Linked DNA regions of Macaca fascicularis. The protein of the gene in region 1 purifies or fractionates together with the protein of each later gene. This does not show direct contact. Links are inferred from orthologs where the notes say so. Each region holds a gene or a part of one and is shown in the gene's direction. Other genes may lie near its edges.

Region 1 (4,210 bases):
GTTGATTCTAAATAATTTAACACGTTTTTAATATATTTGGTTTTTTTTTCCCTCTCTACCAGATCAAACTTGGACATAGATCAGAAGCTAAAGATGGTAAGTATTTCATGTAATCTGACAGATAGGAAAAGTTTTATCCTTTTTTTTAAAAAAGGACAGGGTCTTGCTCTGTCACCCAGGCTGGAGTATAGAGACACAATCATAGCTCACTGCAGCCTCAAGCTTCTGTACTCAAGCAATTCTACCACCTCAGCCTCCTGAGTAGCTAGGGCTATAAACATATGCCACCACTTGTGGTTAATGTTTTATTTTTTGTAGAGATGGGGTTTGGCTGTGTTACTCAGGCTTCTCTCAAACTCCTGGCCTCAAGCTATCCTCCCACCTCGGCCTCCCAAAGTGCTGGAATTACAGGCTTGAGCCACCATGCCCAGCATAAAGTTTTCATTCTCACTGAAGAAACTAGCAAAGTATTAATTAATAAGAGTTAGCAGTGGTTCTGGATAGAGTTACTGCAGTGTCCCCGAAGAGTAAAGATAGACTCAGGATAGAGGAGTAGTATTTGGTGATTTTTACCAATTGGATGTTCAGAAAAACATTCTAAATCACCCACATAAATGGAAGGCAGCAAGCTTAATTAGTTTGTCTTTCTGTCTTCATTACGGTTTTACGTGTTACAAGCCATTGTTTTTTCTGTTTCTGAGTTTCTAATTTGAAAATTCAGGATACATTTTCATGAAAGTACATAAAGCTAACTATGGAATAGATATATGGGGAAAGGATTTCATTAAACTTTCTTCCAAAGTCTTATTTATTAGGAGTCATCATAAAATAGCTCTTATAAAAGAGACCCATTGTCTGTGTAAGTGCCAATACTATATCTTATTTTTATTTTATTTATTTATTTTTGAGACAGTGCCATGCTCTGTTGCCCAGGCTGGAGTGCAGTGGTGCGATCTCAGCTCACTGCAACCTCTGCCTCCCGGGTTCAAGCCATTTTCCTGCCTCAGCTTCCTGAGTAGCTAGGATTACAGGTGCGTGCCACCACGCCCAGCCAATTTTTTGTATTTTTAGTAGAGATGGGGTTTCACCACGTTGGCCAGGCTGGTCTCGATCTACTGGCCTCAAGTGATCTGCCCACCTAGGCCTCCCAAAGTGCTGGAATTATGAGCCACCGCACCTGGCCTATATCTTATTTTTAATTTTGAAATCTGTCATTTGTATTGGAATATATACTGTCTTATTACTAGTTTGCTTTTAGCACAAACAATATGCCACTAACATTTGTAGGGCAAGAGTAGGGAAGCTTATCATCTATATGCTGCACACTTATATATGTTCTTAGTCTGATGGTCTTCAGATCCTGATATCCTATAGATAAAGTGAAATTTTTTTCACCATTTGTCATAGTCTTTGTTAAGCTATTTTTTAAAAAAAGCAATATAGGCCTGGTACGGTGGCTCACGCCTATAATCCCAGCACTTTGGGAGGGTGAGGCGGGTAGATCGCCTGAGCTCAGGAGTTCGAGACCAGACTGGCCAACATAGCAAAACCCTGTCTCTAACAAAAGTACAAAAAATTAGCCAGGCGTGGAGGCACGCACCTGTGGTCCCAGCTACTCGGGAGGCTGAGGTGGGAGAATCACTTGAATCTGGGAGGTGGAGGCTGCAGTGAGCTGAGATCATGCCACTGCACTGCAACCTGGCTGACAGAGTGAAACCCCATCTCAAAAAAAATTAATAATAAAAATAAAGCAATGTAAAAGAACAACAGATTTCACATAAAAATTGTCAAAGTAGCCCTTATTTTTGTGTGGAATGTTCACTATTTTCTGAGGTGACTAACCTTTCTTTAAAAATATATGTTTGTGGCTGGGCGCGGTGGCTCACACCTGTAATCCCAGCACTTTGGGAGGCCGAGGCAGGTGGATCACGAGGTCGGGAGTTCGAGACCAGCCTGACTAACATGGTGAAACCCTGTCTCTACTAAAAATACAAAAATTAGCTGGGCGTGGTGGCGCATGCCTGTAATCCCAGCTACTCAGGAGGCTGAGGCAGGAGAATTGCTTGAACTCGGGAAGTGGAGGTTGCAGTAAGCTGAGATCACGTCACTGCCCTCCAGCCTGGACAACAGAGTGAGACTCCATCTCAAAAAAAAAAAAAAAAATGTGTTTTTAAGGTTTGAGATTTCAGAATTACTCACATTTTGCTTTGCCTTTTTATATAGGTATAAATAGAACAGCCTTAAGAGAGATAAAATTATTACAGGAGCTAAGTCATCCAAATATAATTGGTGTGAGTATGATCAAAACTGTTACTGGGATTTGGGACTCTGCCTTTTCTTAATATAATGGATGTTGATTAAAGGCTCAGCAAGATGACTTGTTCTAGATGAGCCTTACAGAAGCTTAAAGGAAATACATTTCCTATCCCAGTTGTTTTGGTAGACGTTGTCTTTAAAACTATACCACTGATTAAATAAATGAAATATTGACATGTAGGCTAATTTTGTCAGAAATAATTTTGAAGTCTAGGGAGCTCTAGCATATAGTGGCTGAGAGTGTGAACCTGAATTCAAAACCTTTCTTTCTGCCTGTGTGAGACCTTGAGTGTGTTTACTCACAACTCCCCGGAGTCCCTGCCCCATAGGGTAGTTGTGAGACTAGCCAATTGAACAGATGTATCTGGAATAGTGCCTGCCATGGAAAATGTATTCATTCATTCAATGATAGCCGCTGTTATTTAGAGGAGTTCTTAAGAATCACATTTGGGACTTTTCTTTTAAATTGGAGACTGGAATGAGGTTTTCACTGGTTAATTTCTTAATTATAACTCCAAATATTTGGGGAAAGAGGTTGGGTATTTTTTTTAAGTAAAATTTAATATTTTTGTGCTTCAAAATACTAATTCCTTTAGTACTGTCCAAAAAAGGAAAATGTCAAATTAATCAAATGATTTAAGCTTTATAGGGAATTACCAACAGTTTAAATGCTTTTTAAATTTTAAAAAATTGCCTCAGTTGCTATCATACTGTCAGGTATTAAATAGTGAATCACATTTTAATTTTTTTACTTTGCAGCTCCTTGATGCTTTTGGACATAAATCTAATATTAGCCTTGTCTTTGATTTTATGGAAACTGATCTAGAGGTAAGATTAAGATTCCTGGAGAAATTCCTTTGTCCCAGTTTATCAAACAAGAACCTAAATACTTGTTTTCTACCTAAGAAGATACTGCTAGTAAAAGGAAAAAAAAAGCTTAATTTTGTTGAAATTTGGATATACTCTAAGTCAAAAGGATCTCTTGAGTTATTTTCTTCTAATCATTTAGTGATATTCCCAGTGTTACATACAAAGATTTGGATTTCATTGGCCTTTCTCCCTTCCAAGTTCCCATAGCTAGTTGACGTCATTTTTGGAGAAATGAGCATTAGACCTGTAAGTTTTTTTTTTTTTTTTGAGATGGAGTCTTACTCTATCCTGGAGTGTAATGGCATGATCTCAGCTCACTGCAGCCTTCACCTCCTGGGTTCAAGTGATTCTCTCACTTCAGCCTCCCAAGTAGCTGGGATTACAGGTGCCAGCATGCCTGGCTAATTTTTATATTTGAAGTAGAGACGGGGTTTCACCATGTTGGCCAGGCTGGTCTTGAACTCCTGACCTCAAGTGATCCACCCTCCTCAGCCTCCCAAAGTGCTAGGATTACAGGCATGAGTCACCATGCCCAGCCAACGTATAAGAATTTTATTTCCGGACAGGTGCAGTGACTCACGCCTGTACTCTGAGCACTTTGAGAGGCCAAGGCAAGAGGATTGCTTAAGCCCAGGAGTTCAAGACCAGCCTGGACCACATAGTGAGATCCTGTCTCTACTTTAAAAATTATATTAAAAAATAAAGAAGCTTATTTCCATGTAACCAGAGTAATGTCATTCTTTTGAAAGCCAAGTTTGTTTTGTTTTTTGGTTTTTGTTTTTGAGACAGAGTTTCGCTCTGTTACCCAGGCTGGAGTGCAGTGGCGTGATCTCAACTCACTGCAACCTCTGCCTCCCAGGTTCAAGCGATTCTTGTGCCTCAGCCTCCCGAGTAACTGGGATTACAGGCACCCATCCCCATGCCCAGCTAATTTTTGTATTTTTAGTAGCGATGGAGTTTCACTTTGTTGGCCAGGCTGGTCTCAAACTCCTGTCTCAAGTAGTCCACCTGCCTTGGTTTCCCA
Region 2 (4,210 bases), on another chromosome or scaffold:
GGGCCCTCACCGCCCTCATCTCTCTCCAGCTGCATGGACGCCTCGCTGGCCATCAAACCTGTATTCGAGCGCTTCCAGTCTGTCATCATCACGTCTGGGGTGAGGGCCCTTCTCCTGTTCCTCCCAGTCCCTGGCCTCCTTCCATGGGCCTCCTGGTCCCTGCCCAGTCCTGCTGAGATCCCTCCCACTGTCCCCCCTACAGACACTGTCCCCGCTGGACATCTACCCCAAGATCCTGGACTTCCACCCCGTCACCATGGCAACCTTCACCATGACGCTGGCCAGGGTCTGCCTCTGCCCTATGGTGAGTGGGAGAGGCTAGGGCTGGGACTGGGAGGGGAGGTGGGAGCAAGGGGCTGCGTCCCTTCCTTGGCTTCCCCCACTGCTCAGGCAGGAGAGTTTTACAGTGAAGAGGCCGGGTTTGGGATTCAGACAGACTTAGGCTTGATTCTGCTTCTCCGGGGGTACAACTCTCAAACCTCAGTTTTCTTATCTGTGAAATGGGAATGTATCCTCCCTGATCTCCCAGGGCGGTTGAGAGGATTGAGAGAGAACTGGGGTAAAACACTTAGGTACCCCAGGGTCTGGCACAGGTAGGCGCTTACTCAGCATCTTGGTTAACGTGGCTTTGCCGGGTACATGGTCTGGCTGTGACCCAGGTAAGTGGGCCTTCCTGTCCATCTCCATCTCTGTAACATGTACATGTCAACATGGGCCCTCAGTCCCTTATCTGAAGTCCCGAGGCTGGTTTTTTGTTTTGAGATGGACTCTTGCTCTGTTGCCCAGGCTGGAGTGCAATGGCACGGATCTCAGCTCACTGCAACCTCTGCCTCCTGGATTCAAGTGATTCTCGTGCTTCAGCCTCCTGAGTAGCTGGGATTACAGGCGTGTGCCACAACGCCCGGCTAAATTTTGTACTTTTAGTAGAGACAGGGTTTCACCATGTTGGCCAGGCTGGTCTCAAGTGATCTGCCCACCTGGTCCTCCCAAAGTGCTGGGATTACAGGTGTGAGCCACTGCGCGCAGCCATTTGTTTTGGAATTCAGAATTTTCCAGCCTTTAGAGACAAGGCATATGCTGTGTAGTGTGTGACGCCCCCAGTGGGGTCTGGGTGGCTCCCCCGAGTCAAACTCCTATTTTGGCAGTAAAAGATTTGGAAGCATCACATTAAGGAGTAAGTCAGGCCTCTGCAGAGACTCAGGGCAGGGCAGGTTTTGCTACTTAATGAGTTTGTGCCAAACTGAAAAAGAAATGTGTTCAGAGCTTTTGGCTTTTGGAGTTGCCCTGTCAGAGGTTGTGGACCAGTGATGACCACCCACTGCATGGTGGTTGTGTGAGGTTGCCGGCTGGCGGGGATGCCCACCGGCATAGTGAGGGGTGTTCTTCGGGATCCGGCTGGCCTGGGGCCTGGGGCTGGCTAGAGTGTAGCTGCTGGTGGAGAGTGTGGACAGACTCGGGTCCAGTTCCATGTTTGCCACCTATTCACTGTGTGACCTTGGGCAGGCAACTCACCTTTTCTGAGGCCAGGGTAGCTGAGGGTTCATTCAGTGACACTGTGTTAATAAAAAGTTTAGAGCAGACTGGGTGTGGTGGCTCACTCCTATAATCCCAGCACTTTGGGAGGCCAAGGTGGGACAGTCGCTTGAGGCCAGATGTTCAAGACCAGACTGGGCAACATGGTGACGCCCTGTCTCTATTAAAAAAAAAAAAAAAAAAGCTTAGAACAGCACCAGCAGGTGGTCAGCACTCACACGCTGGAGCAGTTGCTGCTGCCTCGCTTATCATGATCTCTGTTGCTCTCTTCAGATCATCGGCCGTGGCAATGACCAGGTGGCCATCAGCTCCAAATTTGAGACCCGGGAGGATATTGGTATGCTGCCAGTGGGGCTGGTTTCTGTGGGTTCCAAGAGGGAGGTGTATCAGTCAGATGGGCTGAGTCACGCTGCTGTAACAAATGTCCCTGGCCTTAGTTGCTTAGCCCAGAGCTTCCTTCTTGCCCATGGGACACGTCCACTGCGAGCTGGTAGGGGGCCTGCCCTGTGTCTCCTCACCTGGGAACCTCCATCGCTGGGTGCGTCAGAGGCAGCGTGATATGACAGGTGGGATCACAGTGGTCACAGTGAATTGTGCACTGGTTCCTAAGGGTGCTCCCCTGGAAGTGACACATGGCCTTTTTTTGAGACAGAGTCTTGCTCTGTTACCTAGGCTGGAGTGCAGTGGCATGATCTCGGCTCACTGCAACCTTTGCCTTGCGGGTTCAAGCAGTTCTTGTGCCTCAGCCTCCCGAGCAGCTGGATTTATAGGCATCTGCCACCACGCCAGGCTAATTTTTGTATTTTTAGTACAGATGGGGTTTTGCCGTGTTGGCCAGGCTGGTCTCAAACTCCTGACCTCAGATGATCCACCCACCTCGACCTCCCAAAGTGCTGGGATTACAGGCGTGAGCCGCCGCGCCTGACCCCTTCTGCACTGATTTCATTGGCCATGGCAAATTACATAGCCAGGTGTGACTTCAGGAAGTGGCAAGGAGGGTCCTCAAACACGCCTGGGAGGAGGAGGAAGGGGATGTGTGTGAATAGCCTGACAGCCAGCCTCAGTGGGGTTTCCAGAAACTCTAGTTTGAAGACAGAGAAGGGAGGAGGATCTGAGACAGGAGAGGGCCTAACCTCTGACTCCTCGCAGCTGTGATCCGGAACTACGGGAACCTCCTGCTGGAGATGTCTGCTGTGGTCCCTGATGGCATCGTGGCCTTCTTCACCAGCTACCAGTACATGGAGAGCACCGTGGCCTCCTGGTATGAGCAGGTATGCCTGGCCACCCCCTCCCTGCACTTGCTCTCCTCAGCCCCTGGCACTGCAGGAGGGGAGTCACCTGTTCTCCTCAGCCCCTGGCACTACACTGCTATGTCAGCTTCATTCCTCTTACCCTCTGATGGTGACAGGTGTCCTGTGTGACAGGAGAGTGCATGCAGCATGTAGGAATGGGGTGTAAGCAGCACATACCCTATGCCCCGCCCCCAGTACATCAGGCTGAGAACGCAGACATAAGCCCCAATGTGGGCCCCTCCCTCAGAGGAGTACCCTGTGGCGGAGTCACCCCCACCTTCTAGGTTCCTTGCTCCCCTGCTGCTCTTTGGGGCTACCCCATCCCTGTGATCCTCCAGCACAGATGGCCTGGTGGGGAGGCCCAGGTAGCAGGTGTGACTCTATCTAGGTTAGAGGAAGGTTCTAGAGAATCAAGGCTGGACTGAGACTCAGGGCAAAGCCTCTCAAGGGTCTGCAGGAGCCCTTTCAGGGAAGCAGGCAGAGGAAGTCATGGGGCATTCTGGAAACAGGGCTCACCACAGCCAGTCCCTGGGTGGGAGGGGAGGCCACTCTGCACTTTGTGCCTCTGAGCACACCATGGCCAGGCTCTCAGGAGTGGGTGAAAGCACATTGGGGCGAGGTGAGTGAACCTGGCTAATCCAAGTATTGGAATGGCACTCATGGGAGGCAGGAACCTCATCCTCACAGCCGGGACCTTGGCCTTGTGCTTCAATAGGTGGCTTCCACACGGCGGAAAGGTGATCCAGTCCCCACAGCCCAGGTGCCTTTTGTGTCCTATTTAAGACAACTTTGTCTTAAATACCCCAAGGTCATGAAGAGAGGCTGCTGTGTTTCCTTCTAGGAGCTTGTGGTTTTAGCTTTCACATCTAGGTCTATGAGGTACCTCAAATTCATCTTTCTATATGGTGTAAGGTAGGGGGTCAAGGTTCATTTTTTGGTTCCATTTGGAAATCCACTTGCTCCAGTAAAAGCTTTCCCCACTGAACTGCACAGGTGGCTGTGTGTTTCTGGACTCTCCATTTTGTCCCACTGGTCTGTGTCCTTGCACTGGCTCCACAGTCTGTATTGTAGTGTCATATGGGAAATCTCAGGGCAGCCTCTGATTGACTCTGCTTGCCTCACAGTCAGCCCCTCCACCAGTCGCTGGCAGGGGATGGGGTGCCCTGATTGGCCACCCCCTTGAGCCACATGCCTGCCCCACTTATCCAGCAGTGATTGGTTCCCCACCCAGATCACTAAGTTCCCCCCAAAGAAGTAAGGTTGGACAATTCCACCCTCCCTCCCCACATCTCAGATGAGCCAGCTGAGGCCCAGAGAAATAGTGATGTAGGAGAGTTGGAGATAACCAGGATGGCCGTGCCCTGAACCCACCTTCTGCCACCCCC

The links. Proteins that work in one complex are often made in the same cells at the same time.
Region 2: the proteins of CDK7 (region 1) and ERCC2 purify together in Homo sapiens (affinity purification with mass spectrometry; 10 studies listed by BioGRID and IntAct, counting the BioPlex papers as one, with this or other methods). This does not show direct contact. The link is inferred for Macaca fascicularis from reciprocal best matches to the Homo sapiens genes CDK7 and ERCC2.

Annotation. Positions count from the first base shown.
Region 1 is NC_088380.1:74,914,593-74,918,802, forward strand, and holds part of CDK7 (cyclin-dependent kinase 7), read left to right. Parts: intron 1-62; coding exon 63-96; intron 97-2,223; coding exon 2,224-2,291; intron 2,292-3,075; coding exon 3,076-3,144; intron 3,145-4,210. UniProt on the Homo sapiens protein: Serine/threonine kinase involved in cell cycle control and in RNA polymerase II-mediated RNA transcription. Cyclin-dependent kinases (CDKs) are activated by the binding to a cyclin and mediate the progression through the cell cycle.
Region 2 is NC_088393.1:53,405,810-53,410,019, reverse strand, and holds part of ERCC2 (general transcription and DNA repair factor IIH helicase subunit XPD), read left to right. Parts: intron 1-29; coding exon 30-99; intron 100-202; coding exon 203-304; intron 305-1,806; coding exon 1,807-1,870; intron 1,871-2,682; coding exon 2,683-2,804; intron 2,805-4,210. UniProt on the Homo sapiens protein: ATP-dependent 5'-3' DNA helicase. Component of the general transcription and DNA repair factor IIH (TFIIH) core complex, not absolutely essential for minimal transcription in vitro.